2 linked regions of the Arabidopsis thaliana genome follow. The protein of the gene in region 2 interacts with the protein of the main gene of each other region in a pairwise test. Each region holds a gene or a part of one and is shown on either strand. Other genes may lie near its edges.

The links.
Region 1: the proteins of AT1G11330 (region 2) and AT5G19700 interact in a protein complementation assay, tested with the Arabidopsis thaliana proteins (one large-scale study listed by BioGRID).

Annotation. Positions count from the first base shown.
Region 1 is NC_003076.8:6,659,098-6,665,152, reverse strand, and holds AT5G19700 (MATE efflux family protein), read left to right. Parts: upstream 1-2,689; 5' UTR 2,690-2,805; coding exon 2,806-4,332; 3' UTR 4,333-4,475; downstream 4,476-6,055. Other genes in the region: AT5G19710 (histidine containing phosphotransfer protein), read left to right, coding at 196-268, 361-408. UniProt on the Arabidopsis thaliana protein: May act as a negative regulator of hypocotyl cell elongation in the light.
Region 2 is NC_003070.9:3,807,093-3,815,674, reverse strand, and holds AT1G11330 (S-locus lectin protein kinase family protein), read right to left. Parts: upstream 5,881-8,582; 5' UTR 5,304-5,880; coding exon 3,986-5,303; intron 3,892-3,985; coding exon 3,784-3,891; intron 3,697-3,783; coding exon 3,503-3,696; intron 3,417-3,502; coding exon 3,206-3,416; intron 3,108-3,205; coding exon 2,870-3,107; intron 2,800-2,869; coding exon 2,649-2,799; coding exon of another isoform or gene 2,622-2,648; exon of another isoform or gene 2,568-2,621; coding exon 2,259-2,567; 3' UTR 1,866-2,258; downstream 1-1,865. Other genes in the region: AT1G11340 (G-type lectin S-receptor-like Serine/Threonine-kinase), read left to right, coding at 1-3, 92-288, 393-603, 701-938, 1,017-1,161, 1,245-1,559; AT1G11320 (GDSL esterase/lipase), read right to left, coding at 6,947-7,642, 7,745-8,212, 8,324-8,434.

The sequences.
Region 1 (6,055 bases), on a different chromosome or scaffold from region 2:
TTTTATTTTATTTTTCATTTCCTTTGCATAATTTTAGTTCTAAATAGAATACATAAGTTTGTCATTTATGCATCTAAACTAAGATATGTATGAGAATGTTCTTTAACAAGATATATATATATATATATATATATATATATATATATATATATATTGATGCAAATGGTTGTTTTTGCATACATGTATACTTTAAAGAGTAAAAGGAGCACTGCCTGATATTAAGAAAGAGCACAGTGAACTCCGGGCAAAGTTTGAGACTTATTTCCAGGTTTATAAAATTCTTAATTAAAGTATTGTTAATAACGTATGGTTATGTGCTCGAATGGAATCTGATTCTAGCTTCTTCAATGTGTTTGTCAGTTGATGAGACAAGCTGGTCCAACAGATGTAGCTGTGAATTCAAGCTGAGAATGTGTAAACCAGGATAGTTTGGTTCGTACGACAAATATTCTACCTGCCCAAACCCAAGTTACTACCATTGATCGTTATCAGTTGATCATGATCGTATTAATTTTTGAATGTTTTATTTGTTAACTTATGTTATGATGTCGAGTTTATTTTTATTAGATTAATATATATTTCGTCTAAAAGATAAATATATTGCTGCAAATTAACCTCTTTTTTTTTGTCAATAATAATTTAGAAAATTGAACTAAACAAAATGTCTTATAATTACATAAACCCAAAATAGAAAAAATAGAAAAAGAAAAAGAAGCCATGTCGTGATGTGAATACACACACATTTCTCTCTGGACCTAAAAATCTCTCCCTTCTCTCTAAAAACAAAAGGAACCGCCACCTAGATTTTTTATATTCATAGTGGCTTCCATAGCACTAGAGCCGGTAAAATTCTTTCTCTTTCTTTGTTTTTCTCTTTTTTCGGCACATCCATGATTTTTCTTCCAACGGAATCAATTCTAGTTTTCTAGATCTAAATATTTAAAGCTTAAATCTCCTCCTCCTTTGGTTTTTGATGTTTTGCTTTTTTGTCTCCGCCATTCTCAGCATCATATCTGGTTGTATCTTTCTTGGTAGGTAGAAGCAGTCTTCAATCGGTTCTTCTCTGCCTCAGATTAAGAAATTTCGCCATCGTAAATCTAGATCTTCTTCCTTTCTTCAAGAGACGTTCTTTGAGTCTCTATTTTTTTGGATGCGTTTCACCGCCTCTGTGACTTCTCGAGAGTATTATAAAGAGGGTCACACGACACTTTCATTTGGTTTTAACTTGTTATAAAGAAGATTCTTGTATTATAATCTGTTTGTGTGTTTTTCTAAGTCTCAGTTTTGTTTTAATTTGCAAGGTTTAGGTTTTGTTAATCTTTTTTTTGAATTTCCAGATTCTGATCCAGAAAGTATTAATGGATGTTGTGTAGTTTATTTGCTCGGGTTTTTTTCCCTTTGTTTACTTTGTTTGATCATTGTTTCTGGTGTTCTTGTACTCGCCGACTAATGTTTCCGGAAGTGTTCATGTACTTGCCGGCTCTTTGTAATTCACTTTAAACCTTATCAATAGAATCTTTTTGATGAAAAAGAAGAAGAAGCCATGGAGCTATTCAAACTCATCTAACCGATTGGATAAAACAGCTCATTCATAGGAGACTACGCCACCAAAACTATTTTTTTAATATGTTTCATATCCCTAACAATACATTCTTCTTGAAAAAATATTCTACATAGCTCACAATACAAAAAACTTGGTTTAGTGACATTTGACATTTACACATATGAATGGTTGCAATATGGTCATAGCACGTAAAAAATGATCATATATTGTTCAAAAATATAGATCTTAATGCATATCGATCATGTCCCTCTGGTCCAATTGGTTTTATGATTTTTTTTCCATATCAATCAATCAAAAAGGAGGATCAATTGATCTGGCCCTCTATAACTAAATTTGTTTTAACTAGAAAAACTGGACCGCTCATTCTCCTCCTCTCAAGTTCTGGTTAGCGTTTTTTGAATCATTTTCAATCACAAAGTTATTTTTAAGAAAAAATCTAGGAAATGCACAACTTTGATTAAAAAACAAAAAAAAATTATAAGATTACATCTAACTTAATAAGCAATACTTAAGAAAAAAACAAAAGTACATACCGATAAAAACACGACACGTCAAATTTTATATCTAGACATTATAATATACATATGAATTTTAGTAAAAGGTAAAACAAAATGTAAATGTTGAAAATAGTAAATTTAATTTAAAATTTTTGAAAAAAAATATTAATAAAATACATATCTAATATAGTAATTTATAAAATATCACGTGGCGTTCGGCAATATATGGCACAAAATTTTCAAGGATAAGATTTTCTAATTTCCAAACTTTTATAATAAATCTGATAAACTTGAATTAATGTTACCAGAATCCCATTTAATAAAATCAGAACTAAAATTAGGCATTTTCATAAAAGTATTGTGAAAACATACAAATTAAAGATGTTCTTATAGAAAAAAGGGATTTTTTCACTATTAAAATTAAAAAGATAATAATCTAAAACAACCTTGTAGACCCAAAAAAAAAAGATTACAAAAATGCCTAACTTCTTTAACATTTTAAGAAGTCTTATCTTCACAGCACCTTCTAAAAGAAAAGTGTTCTTTCTGTAATTAACCTTTTTTAAACATTAAAACATAAAGTCTATCCTTTTAATAAATATTTGACTTTTATCATTTGACTCCTTCGCTAAGTCCGACGTGACGGACATATAGGTAATTTGTGTATATAAACCAGAAGTGTTCTGCTGGTAATCATATCTTGTAACCATAATCGTCTTGTGTCTTTTATTTCACAGAGACAAAATGGAAACCCCAAACATCATCAGCCACACAAATCTTCTATCGAAGATAGACCTGGAAAAACAAAACCCTGCCCCCATTTTCCCGACAATCACTGAGCTTAAAAGTGAGGCTAGGTCTCTCTTCTCCTTAGCCTTCCCGACAATCCTCGCGGCCCTCATCCTCTACGCTCGCTCCGCCATCTCGATGCTCTTCCTCGGGCATATCGGTGAACTAGAGCTAGCTGGTGGCTCCCTGGCCATTGCCTTCGCTAACATCACTGGCTACTCCGTTCTAGCAGGTCTTGCACTCGGCATGGACCCACTCTGTTCGCAAGCCTTTGGAGCCGGCAGACCAAAACTCCTCTCTTTAACGCTTCAACGAACCGTACTTTTCTTACTCACAAGTTCGGTAGTAATCGTCGCTCTATGGCTCAACCTGGGGAAGATCATGATTTATCTTCATCAAGATCCAAGTATCTCATCGTTGGCCCAAACATATATCCTCTGCTCTATTCCTGATCTGCTCACCAATTCCTTTCTTCACCCTCTTCGTATATACCTTCGAGCACAAGGTATCACAAGCCCTTTAACTCTCGCAACACTCGCTGGCACCATCTTCCACATACCCATGAACTTTTTCCTCGTTTCTTACCTCGGATGGGGTTTCATGGGCGTTTCAATGGCCGCAGCCGCTTCAAATCTTCTTGTTGTCATTTTCCTTGTGGCCCATGTTTGGATCGCAGGTCTACACCAGCCAACGTGGACCCGCCCCAGCTCGGAATGTTTCAAAGATTGGGGACCAGTCGTAACCCTAGCCATACCTAGCTGCATCGGGGTATGCCTAGAGTGGTGGTGGTACGAGATAATGACCGTTCTATGTGGTTTACTCATAGACCCTAGTACTCCAGTGGCATCAATGGGCATTCTTATCCAAACGACGTCTTTGCTTTACATTTTCCCATCGTCTCTAGGGTTAGCAGTCTCCACCCGAGTTGGTAACGAACTTGGCTCAAACCGCCCAAACAAGGCTAGGTTATCAGCCATAGTGGCGGTTTCCTTTGCTGGGGTAATGGGTCTGACGGCGTCTGCGTTTGCTTGGGGCGTAAGCGATGTCTGGGGATGGATCTTCACAAACGACGTTGCTATCATCAAATTAACCGCAGCCGCGTTGCCGATTCTCGGGCTTTGCGAGCTCGGGAACTGCCCGCAAACAGTAGGTTGCGGGGTTGTTAGAGGCACTGCACGGCCGTCCATGGCAGCGAACATAAACCTAGGAGCGTTTTACCTCGTTGGAACGCCTGTAGCCGTTGGGCTAACGTTTTGGGCCGCATATGGATTTTGCGGACTTTGGGTAGGTCTTTTAGCTGCTCAGATATGTTGTGCTGCCATGATGCTATATGTCGTGGCTACTACGGACTGGGAGAAAGAAGCAATTAGAGCCAGAAAGCTAACGTGTACTGAAGGCGTTGATGTGGTAATAACAACAACGCAAACCAACGGAGACTTATCGGAACCATTAATTTACGTTGTCACTGTCGCTACTGACTGACATCGATCGGTGTTTTGAGTTGTTTTATTTTATTTTACTTAATATTTGTGGATGAATCGATCAGTTTTTTTTGGGAGGGCATTGGGAGACATTTGTATTTTTAAACGAGAAAGTTACCAAAAAGAATCTGATTCATAATTTTGATCCAAAGTAATTGTGTCCTAAGTATTTGTACTTCATGCTATTTTAGAGAATTTTCTTTTTCTATATAATCGGCTTTGATTGCTCCAGAATTCGAATTCAAGTTGTTGTGCAACATTTTCTGATGTGTTCAATTGTGTTTTCGTTGTATAAGTAGTAGATCATGACTAAACATGTGTTCACGTTATATAATGATTATGTATGTTATTCAGTTTAATTGTATATATTTTTTCATGTATAAAAAGTTATGTTTTTTAAAAATATATTTCTTTTACTTTGATTTATTAAATATAAGATCAACCTATATTTGTTGTCAAAAAAAAGCATTAGGAGGATTTGAATTCGATTACAGCCGCAAAATGTTACAGCTATTTGTGCTGGTTAGTTCTCCAGTCAGACTCTTGGTGGTATTACTGCAACTCATTAATTTTTCTATTTAAAAAAATATATGGTGAAAGAAGTTCTTTAAATTCCAGTTTTCAACACGTATGCACAAAATTTTGCTTCTCAAAATTAAATATACAGGGGGAGGGGACATCTATACTGTTTGGTTACCTAGGTTTAACATCAAATACAAGTAAAAAAAAACGAAAAACGAGACTTAAGTATGCATGGTTAATGTAGCTATACATCGACGTCCATGAGATGTACTTTAGTGATTTGTATTAGTATTTAGATGTGTCACTACTTAAAATTTAATTTCGCATATTACATGTTGATGTTGTTAACGAAAATATATATACAAAAATAAGTTTTGTAGATCTACATATATGGGTATTCTTATATAATAAAACTCTGATCAATTTGACGGGAAAAAAAAAAAACTCTGATCACTTCCTGAATTTAAAATGTTCGTGTCATCGATAACTACATAATATTTTTTGTTATCAATGACGAGTCATTGTAATTATATATATTGGCAAAGGTTCTTGGAGTCATGTTTACTTGTTACATGTAATAGAAATTGTCTGAATAAACCTGTCCCTTTTCTTAAGAGTGTTAAACCTCTTTTCACTTGATTTGGTCATTGTCCCCAAACATTCCAACACATGTTTTGGGCCAATCCATGATGTTGCCTAAAGATCACCGTTGACTTTTCTTTTTTTACATCAGTATGACTTTTTTAGTTGTTACGTTGTATATATTTGACTTTTTATAAATTTTAATATTATATTAGAATTCTCCAATGTATACAAATTAAATAGCTTACAAAGCAAAAAATATCAAATACTACCCAAGAAGTATAGTTAGTAATAGCTGATTTTATCATTTTTCCTTTGAAGATTAGCCGTTACTTGGTTAAAAATTAGTAGTAAATTATTTAAACAGCATTTGTACGTCTTTTTTTTTTGTTTTCTTGGGGTCAATTAGCATTTGTACACTATTGGCATGTTCTAGGCTTATAGTTTACTTTTAACCCACGTAAAAATATTAAAAGTTATGTTTCGACTTATGACTTTTCTCAAGAGACGTGTTTTTCGATTGGAGTCATGTCCAGAAGACACTGAAGCATGCTTGTTTTACAACCAGTCCACGTTTTTAGGCGTCGATTGTTTTTCTACTCTTGCTTTTTCCAAAACTG
Region 2 (8,582 bases):
GAAGTAAGTGAATATCTGATGATGAATCTCTTAAGATGATATGCTGCTATCTTAGCTCACAACTAACTACTTGAAACATGTTCAAGTGCAGAGTCAAACAGGCATAGAAGCTCTTCGGCAAACTTCGCCCCGGTCCCTTTTGATTTTGACGAATCATTTAGATTTGAACAAGACAAGGCGAGAAACCGGGAGTTACCTTTATTTGATCTTAACACGATCGTTGCAGCAACAAATAACTTCTCTTCCCAAAACAAGCTTGGAGCAGGTGGTTTCGGACCTGTTTATAAGGTAATGAAGAGGCAATATCCATTTTTCATCAATACTCCTCCAAGAGAGAACACTATTAAGTTCAATAAGTAGTAAGGAATATTGTTTCCTTTGTTTCTACTTAGGGCGTGTTACAAAACCGTATGGAGATAGCGGTGAAGAGGTTGTCGAGAAACTCGGGACAAGGAATGGAAGAGTTCAAGAACGAGGTCAAGCTGATATCAAAGTTGCAGCATCGAAATCTCGTGAGGATCTTAGGATGTTGCGTTGAATTGGAAGAGAAGATGTTGGTATACGAGTATTTACCAAACAAGAGCCTAGACTATTTCATATTCCGTACGTTCAACATTTTTAACTCAGGTTCAAATTCTCCCTTTCAGGAAGATCAATGACTCTGAATTTTCTTGTTTCTTTCTTCTTATCATCATGCTAGATGAAGAGCAGAGAGCAGAGTTGGATTGGCCAAAAAGAATGGAGATAGTCCGAGGGATTGCTCGTGGAATCTTATATCTTCATCAAGATTCAAGACTGAGAATCATCCACAGAGATCTCAAGGCCAGCAATATACTTCTTGACAGTGAAATGATCCCAAAGATTTCAGATTTCGGCATGGCTAGAATCTTTGGGGGCAACCAAATGGAAGGATGCACAAGTAGGGTCGTCGGAACATTGTGAGTTACTCTTTTCTGAAACACCACAAAACTGTCCAAAATCTTACAACCTTAAACTGTTTCAATCTTGTTGCACAGCGGATATATGGCACCGGAGTATGCAATGGAGGGACAGTTCTCCATTAAATCCGACGTCTATAGCTTTGGAGTATTGATGTTAGAGATCATAACCGGAAAGAAAAACAGTGCTTTCCACGAGGAATCATCTAACTTAGTCGGACATGTAAGTACATAACTGAAAATTTTACACAAAAACAGAGGAAAAAAAACAGAACATAAGTAAATGTATGTTTCTCCGTCTTGTAGATTTGGGATCTATGGGAAAACGGTGAAGCAACAGAGATCATAGACAATTTAATGGACCAAGAGACTTATGATGAGAGAGAAGTGATGAAGTGCATACAAATTGGGTTGCTCTGTGTGCAAGAAAACGCTTCGGACAGAGTAGACATGTCCTCTGTTGTCATCATGTTGGGTCATAACGCCACTAATCTTCCGAATCCAAAGCATCCTGCGTTTACTTCCGCGAGAAGGAGAGGCGGTGAAAATGGTGCTTGTCTTAAGGGACAAACCGGTATTTCTGTTAATGACGTTACCTTCAGCGACATTCAAGGTCGTTAAAACAACTTCCAAATGTTTTACTTTTTTTCGTATAAGAAGAGAAGAAGACTAGAGGATCAGTTACAGGAATCAGGAATCTTATTAACTCTGTAAGTTTGTGTAATGAGACTGGTTTTTTGACAAAACTTATTTATTGAAGTACTGATAACAAAAGAAAGAAAATGACTAATAATAAAACCATTGCTAAAAACAAAACACAAAAAGGAAATTTCTTCGCTGCTATAAAATAATTTTGTGCAGAAAATTCAAGGTTGTTATGTAGTTAATGTATCTTCGAAAAAGTCAAAACTGATGTTATTTTCTTATCCCCTATCCAAGTTTGTTCCAATATACATATACTTATAGCAAAGCAACCAATACACAAAACCAATAATTGTGTTTTAATTCTTTCTTCTCAAGACAAAACCTATGTGCTGTGGCTTTTTCTCAAGAACAACGGATTTTTGTTCTTGTCCTGTTTTCTTCAGGTTCAGTTTCTTCATCCAGGTTAGTTAATTCCAAAAATCTGATTATATGTAAGAATAGGTCAAGTTTCAACAAAGTTCATAAACCTGAAAATAACTTCTCTGTTCTTATTTCAGTAATCTAACCATTGCACAGACGCAGATAACAAAATTTGTAAACATAGGAGTTTCTCAAAACGTGTATATTACATACTATTATGTATATAAACAGACTGAGATTGGCGTGGTGGTGAGGTTAACGTCCTGTTACAGCTGTGAGGCTCACATCATTGATAGATACCTTTTGACTACTCTGGTCAGAAGATTCAGCCTCAGAAGCTCCTCTTCTTACTATAAACGCTGGCTGCTTCGGATCGGCGAGGCTCATGTTCTCGGTAGTTAGCATCCATATCACGTTTGAAACATTTGGTCTATCGTTTGCAACTTCTTGCACACATAACAGTCCAATATGAACACATTTCTCTATCTCTTTCTCGAAACACTTATCAAAGACGGCTGGATCTGCTAGAGAAGCAGCCTCACCGTCGTTCCACAGCTTCCAAGCCTGTAAAAACCAAGTCTTTAAGGTAAGTTTCGAATCTTGATTAACCATAAGTTACTAAAAACACTGCTTTGTAACACTTACATAAGCCAAAAGGTTGAGATTATTCTCTTCCTTGTGAGAACTAGAGTTTCTTCTCCCACTTATGATCTCGAGAAATATAACCCCCAAGCTGAAAACATCTGATTTTTCTGAAAAGAAACCTTCCATTGCATACTCCGGTGACATATAGCCGCTGCAATAACAATATTTGAATAAAACCGAATTTCGTAATGTTTGTTGTGTATTTTGGAATGGATACTTACTATGTTCCAACAACCCTTCTTGTGTTAGCTTCATCTTCATTCGCTCGGAAAATTCTTGCAAGTCCAAAATCAGATATCTTGGGGTTTAGATTCTCATCTAACAAAATGTTGCTGGCTTTTAAATCTCTGTGTATGATCTTTAGTCTTGAATCTCTGTGAAGGTACAAAAGACCTCTGCAAATTCCTTCCATTATGTTGAACCGAGTCTTCCAATCAAGAATCTTTTGCTTCATTGGGTCTGAGAAAAGTTAGCAAAAACATTAGCCTTCTCAATAATCATCCCGAGCCAAACGGTATAAACAGAGTTAAAAAGAGAGTTAGAGGTGATAAGTTTACCAAAAAGATATGCATCCAAGCTTTTCTTTGGCATATATTCATATACTAACATTCTTTCTTCACCTTCAATACAACATCCAAGTAACTTCACTAGATTCCGATGTTGCAACTTAGATATCACAACCACTTCGTTCATAAGTTCCTCTAGTCCTTGACCTGATTTCCGTGAGAGCCTCTTCACTGCAATTTCTTGTCCTTCAGGTAATTTTCCCTAAAAAAAAAGATTACCAATCACTTAGTCTGAGATAATTTGTACACATATCTCCCTCCAGAAAACTTCTTTTGTTATGATTTTACCTTGTAAACAGGACCAAACCCGCCTTGCCCGAGCTTGTTTCTTAGAGAGAAGCTATCAGTTGATGTAGCTAACACTTGAAACTCAAAGAGTGGAAGCTCCTTGAGCTTGATTTGGTTAGAAGCAGACTCATTATCACTTGTAAGTGCTTCCATTCTCTTAAACATTAGCTCTGCACTTCTATCTTTCGCTGGAGCTGCTAAGGTAATGATCAATGAAGCAAAACAATTATGATAAAAGAAACAATCAGAATCTAACATTCATGAATAAACAAAACTCTAACCTGGACGCTTTTTGTATTTCCGGCATGCTAAAAGAACGCAGACCGCAGCAATTAACATAACGCCTATCACAGGTGCTGCGATCATAACTGCTAGATTGCTATGTGTTTCTACAAAAAGTTGGTAAGTAAAAACTTAAGTCAGTGAAGAAAACAAAAATGGAGAAGGAAACAAAGTGAGAACTACTAGATATATTTCACTCACTGAGTTCTGAATGAGCAACACGAATAAAAAGATCAATGCCACTTCCCAAAAATGATTGCATATCAACTAAATCACCACTCCAAAGCATGCATCCAATTCCTCTATCATATGCATAAGCTGTGCAAGAACAGTTATCTAAGCATACTTTAGGACAAACTTGTTCACTAGCTTCAGACCGTTCCGCAGAGATTGGTACTTTCATCTTCTGCAGTTTCAAAAAACCATCTGCTTTTCCTCCACCACCACCATTACTTACATTTCTCTGTCTTTCACACTGCAATGGAGCTTTTCTCATACATCCATTACTCCAATTACCACCATTCCACTCTGTGTTATTCTTTGGAACAAACCCTTTAACACATTTACAAGGCGGGTTTTCCCCGGCATGGCAGCTCCCGAATCGACCACATCTACCGTATGCATCACAGTCTGTGTATGGAAACTTTACACCTATCCTCCAAGTTCTCATAGAAGTACTCCAATCTTTCTGATAAATAATTCCTTCAGGATCCAAGTTAAAGTGATACATGAACGAATCATTAGCATAAGACATTGAGATCGTTCCTTGATTATCACTGTTAAGATTAAACCCATCAAGAAACAGAAGTGAATCCATATTCGGTAAACCGATGAAAACCTGACCGTTCCACGGTCCGCTACGCCACGTTGGGACATTGTTCTTCCAGATAAGAAGCTCAGGAAACGTGAAAGGAGCAATACCAGCTGTGTAGTTTCCTGTTGAAGGATCATCGTGGCTTGTCCAAGAAGTAAGCTTTAGGTTACCTCCAGTTCTACCGTCGGTGCCAAGAGTCATTCTTGGCATGAAAGAATCATAAGGATGCTTGAAACTCTCCCAAAGAATCTCACCATTGTTTCTGTTGTCTTGTAACATAAGATTCCCAGAATCCATAAGCTGAACCCAAGTAGCATTTGGAGCTACTGGTACTGAGACATTCGTCGACCATACAAGGCGATTTCGACCATCGGTAACCGCGAGATTTCCATCTTGATAGATCGAGATAACACCGGAAGTGTCGTTGATGGGAGAGTCTTTGTTAGCAACCCAAACCACAGTTTGGATTGGAATCTTTTCGTACCAAATCCCAACATAACGTAACCGAGTAGTGGAATTAACAGGAGTGAAGAAACCAAACCTGAAAATACCACTTTTGCATAGAAGGGTCTCTGACTCTGAGTCTTTGATAGGACTTGAGAAAGTGATTCTGTCCTCACCAAAACAGAGTCTCCGAGACAACAAACAAGTGCATGCAAGTAGAAGAAGAACAAAACGACGACGTATGGTCACTGAAACCACCATAACTCTTTGAAACAGAGAATGACTCCAGTTTTGCTTTGTTTTCCTACACGAGAGGTAAATTAGTAGTCTTTTTCTGTCTCTATGAGAAGACTTGACTTAGAAAATGATGTAAAAGTTTTATGTTTCAACGAAGATTTGTTTTTGGTGTGAGTAATAATGTTATTAGGTGGATTCATTGAATAGCCCACCAATTAGCAGTGAGAGTGGAATAAACCACCAATCTTGACTTTTCTTTAAATGCAGAGGAAACGATTGAAAGCGAGAGGACTACTTGCCTTAGTGCGATTTCAATGGGGTCATTGTTTATACATTTCGAGTACACTTGTTTTATTTGCAGATTATAGCATTTGAAAACAAATATTACTTTTTTCTGTTCTCATTCTTGGTGATACAAACGAACGCGTGTTTCACAGCCCACTTGGTGTTTTGCCGTCGTTAAAGTTTGAGGAATTTGAGTTGAATTTGTTTATGTCATGCCGTTCTAGATTGGATTAGGTCGCAAATCTTTTTGTGGGTAGCTAATTTGGAATTTGTTGAGGCAAGCACACAATGTATCACATGAAATGCCTAAACGAAGTGTACAAAAGATTCGATTTCTGTTCAGTTGAAACGGAATAGAAAGTTTTTTTTTAAACTATGAGAAAGGTTTTTACCAAACAAATTTATCTTGTATTAAAAAAGGATGTGGTCTCTATCGAACAACACATACTTTTGACTTTGCATGCAAATACGAGACAATGTGCCACGAGGCCAAAATTTGCAATTTTTAAAGAATTATTAGATGGTGACAAAAAATTGAATAGAGAAATTAGGTGGGGATATTGCCCTTGATACAATTGTTATGTGAAGCCTAATTTGTTTTATATTGGTAACATGTTATTTTTTTGTATGGACGTTCTAAGTTTTTTACTTACCAATGAAAGCCACACAATTCACAAATCACAATGATGACTGATGAGTAATGACATCTAAAACGACAGAAGCCGAAACTAGTATTATTAGAAAGTCTAATTGACTCAAAACGCCAAATCTTTGAGCAAAAATAAAAGGGAAATGGAGAACAAAATTACCTCTCTTTTTTTTTTTTTCATATTGCCATTGCGTTCTGCATAGGACTTTGTTGTATCAAATGAGACCTGAGAAAAAGGTCATTGACTTCGACAGATGAAAAGTCTAGAGAATTTGTATGTTCATGAGACAGAGGGTCACAACGTAGCTCTCAACATGACAACATCAATCAAACTGTTGTACAGTCACATCTTGTTTAAGAAGAATTCTTTCAAATAATCTTTAAAATGCCACAACCTATGTTACGTTGCAATCAAGACATACTAATCATAGATCAATCTTCAGTTATTCTACTTCTCCCTAAGCATAAATAAGCATTACGACATTTGTTACCATTACAATAAAAAAAAAAGCAAATTAGTGTACTATTCCAACACAGATGGAAACAATTACTAACAAGACAACAAAGATTTTTCTAAGCGATGATAGACAATAAACTTTTATCTTCAAGGCACAAAAATGGCAGCTACATTAAATATTTTCAGACAAATAAATTGCATTAGACACAAAAATCTCAAAACTGCAGTCAGTGGTAATTCGAACCATCAATGTACAAGTAATGAGTAAACTTGAGATCACAGCGACCAGTGAGACTTTAGCATAAGACCTATGGTTCTTCCGTCACTGTTTGTGTGATAAACAAGACATGGACTTAATCTAAACCTATCGCCTATGTTGAATTTCAGATATGATTCCACCTGAAACTGATCATGATTTCTTGAACCATCAACAACTCCCCCAACGCTCATGCCCCAGCCCACTTCATCCTCTGGGTTGTCTGTAATAGACACTGACCATTTCACTTGCTTTTCTCTTGAGTTCTGAATTTCAATCCATCCCCCAAGTTTTGTAGACTCGTCCATTAGAGAGTCTAACTTCAAAGCAATGGAACTGGACGACACATGATTCATGTTTCTACTCATCTCCAGAGGCGGTGCTGATGGTTCAGGCTCCGTAGCAGTATGGCGCCTTAGGAAACTTACTGGAACTGTAATGGCTCCAACAGAATGGAGATTGCTAGATGATGTTAAAACTTGGTGACAGCCCAATAGAGATAGCTTTAAACTTCTGAGAATGTGGCAGGTTACTTGCCCAAATGTTCTGAAACAACGATTCGGTGCAGTCAAACCCTGTTCAACTTCAACGTTTGACATAGACTGAGCCAGTGAAGCTGTGATATTTGACTTTCTGAATGTTAACCCTATGGCGCTCCCATTATGTTGGCTTAAAAGAGGTGGTCCAAGTTCAGAAACTTCTGTGAGACTCATTCCCTGCAAGACGAAGGTAGTTGTATTTGTAGTTTTATCAATAACGATTATTTATGAGAAACACAACAAATATAGAAACAGAAATCTGCAACGATTGGTGGATACCTGGTAAGAAGACACAGTAGAAGCCTCAATGTCTCTGAAATGCGCGCCAACAGGAATAGCAATAGCAGAGAACCAATCATTAATATCTGCCTTGTAGAAGACTTTGGCTAAAGACAACTCTCCTCCTAAAAAATCCCTGTGACTTCCTGCCCCATTGTATCCAGCAACAAGCTCAGCCACAAGCCTATCTGTCTCCCTAAGACTCGTTTCAAACACAAACCTTGAAAGCAATCCCGGTCTCACTCCTTCTTTGTTGAGTCCATTGAAACTTTCCTCGTCAGTGTTTCCCATCAGCAATATAGCTCCAAGCACATCAACTTCACCTCTCACATGAGTGCTAGTCTCTTGAAAGGGACCTCCTTTCGATAATTTCTGCGAGGAAATGATCCGCTCTACTTTCTCTTGTCTTTCTCTAAGTTTCATCAAATCCGAGAATGTTTCTCTTTGTAATCGCTTCAAGATATCAATCTGCAACATAATTCCCAAAACCAACAATGCAGAAACTCAAATTCAACATCACATTTCAAACAAAAAGTTGATTTTAAGAACAAAATGAGTAAAGGGGATGGATAACGATACCGGATTCAGGCGAGAAGGATTCTCATGGAAGCCGAAATGGCGGGAGACTAAATCCTGGCTCGATTTCGTAAAGCTCTTCACTTTCTCCAACACCGAAGCAATTGGGTCCATCTTTTAATCAGAAACTGGTAAGGAAAGCTTGAAGATTCTAGAAAATTTCGAACCCAGTGATGATCATTTCTATCGATGATAAGAGGATTTGAATAGAGAAGATGCGAAAATGTTTTAGGGTTTATGTGTTTGGATTTTGGTTTCAAAA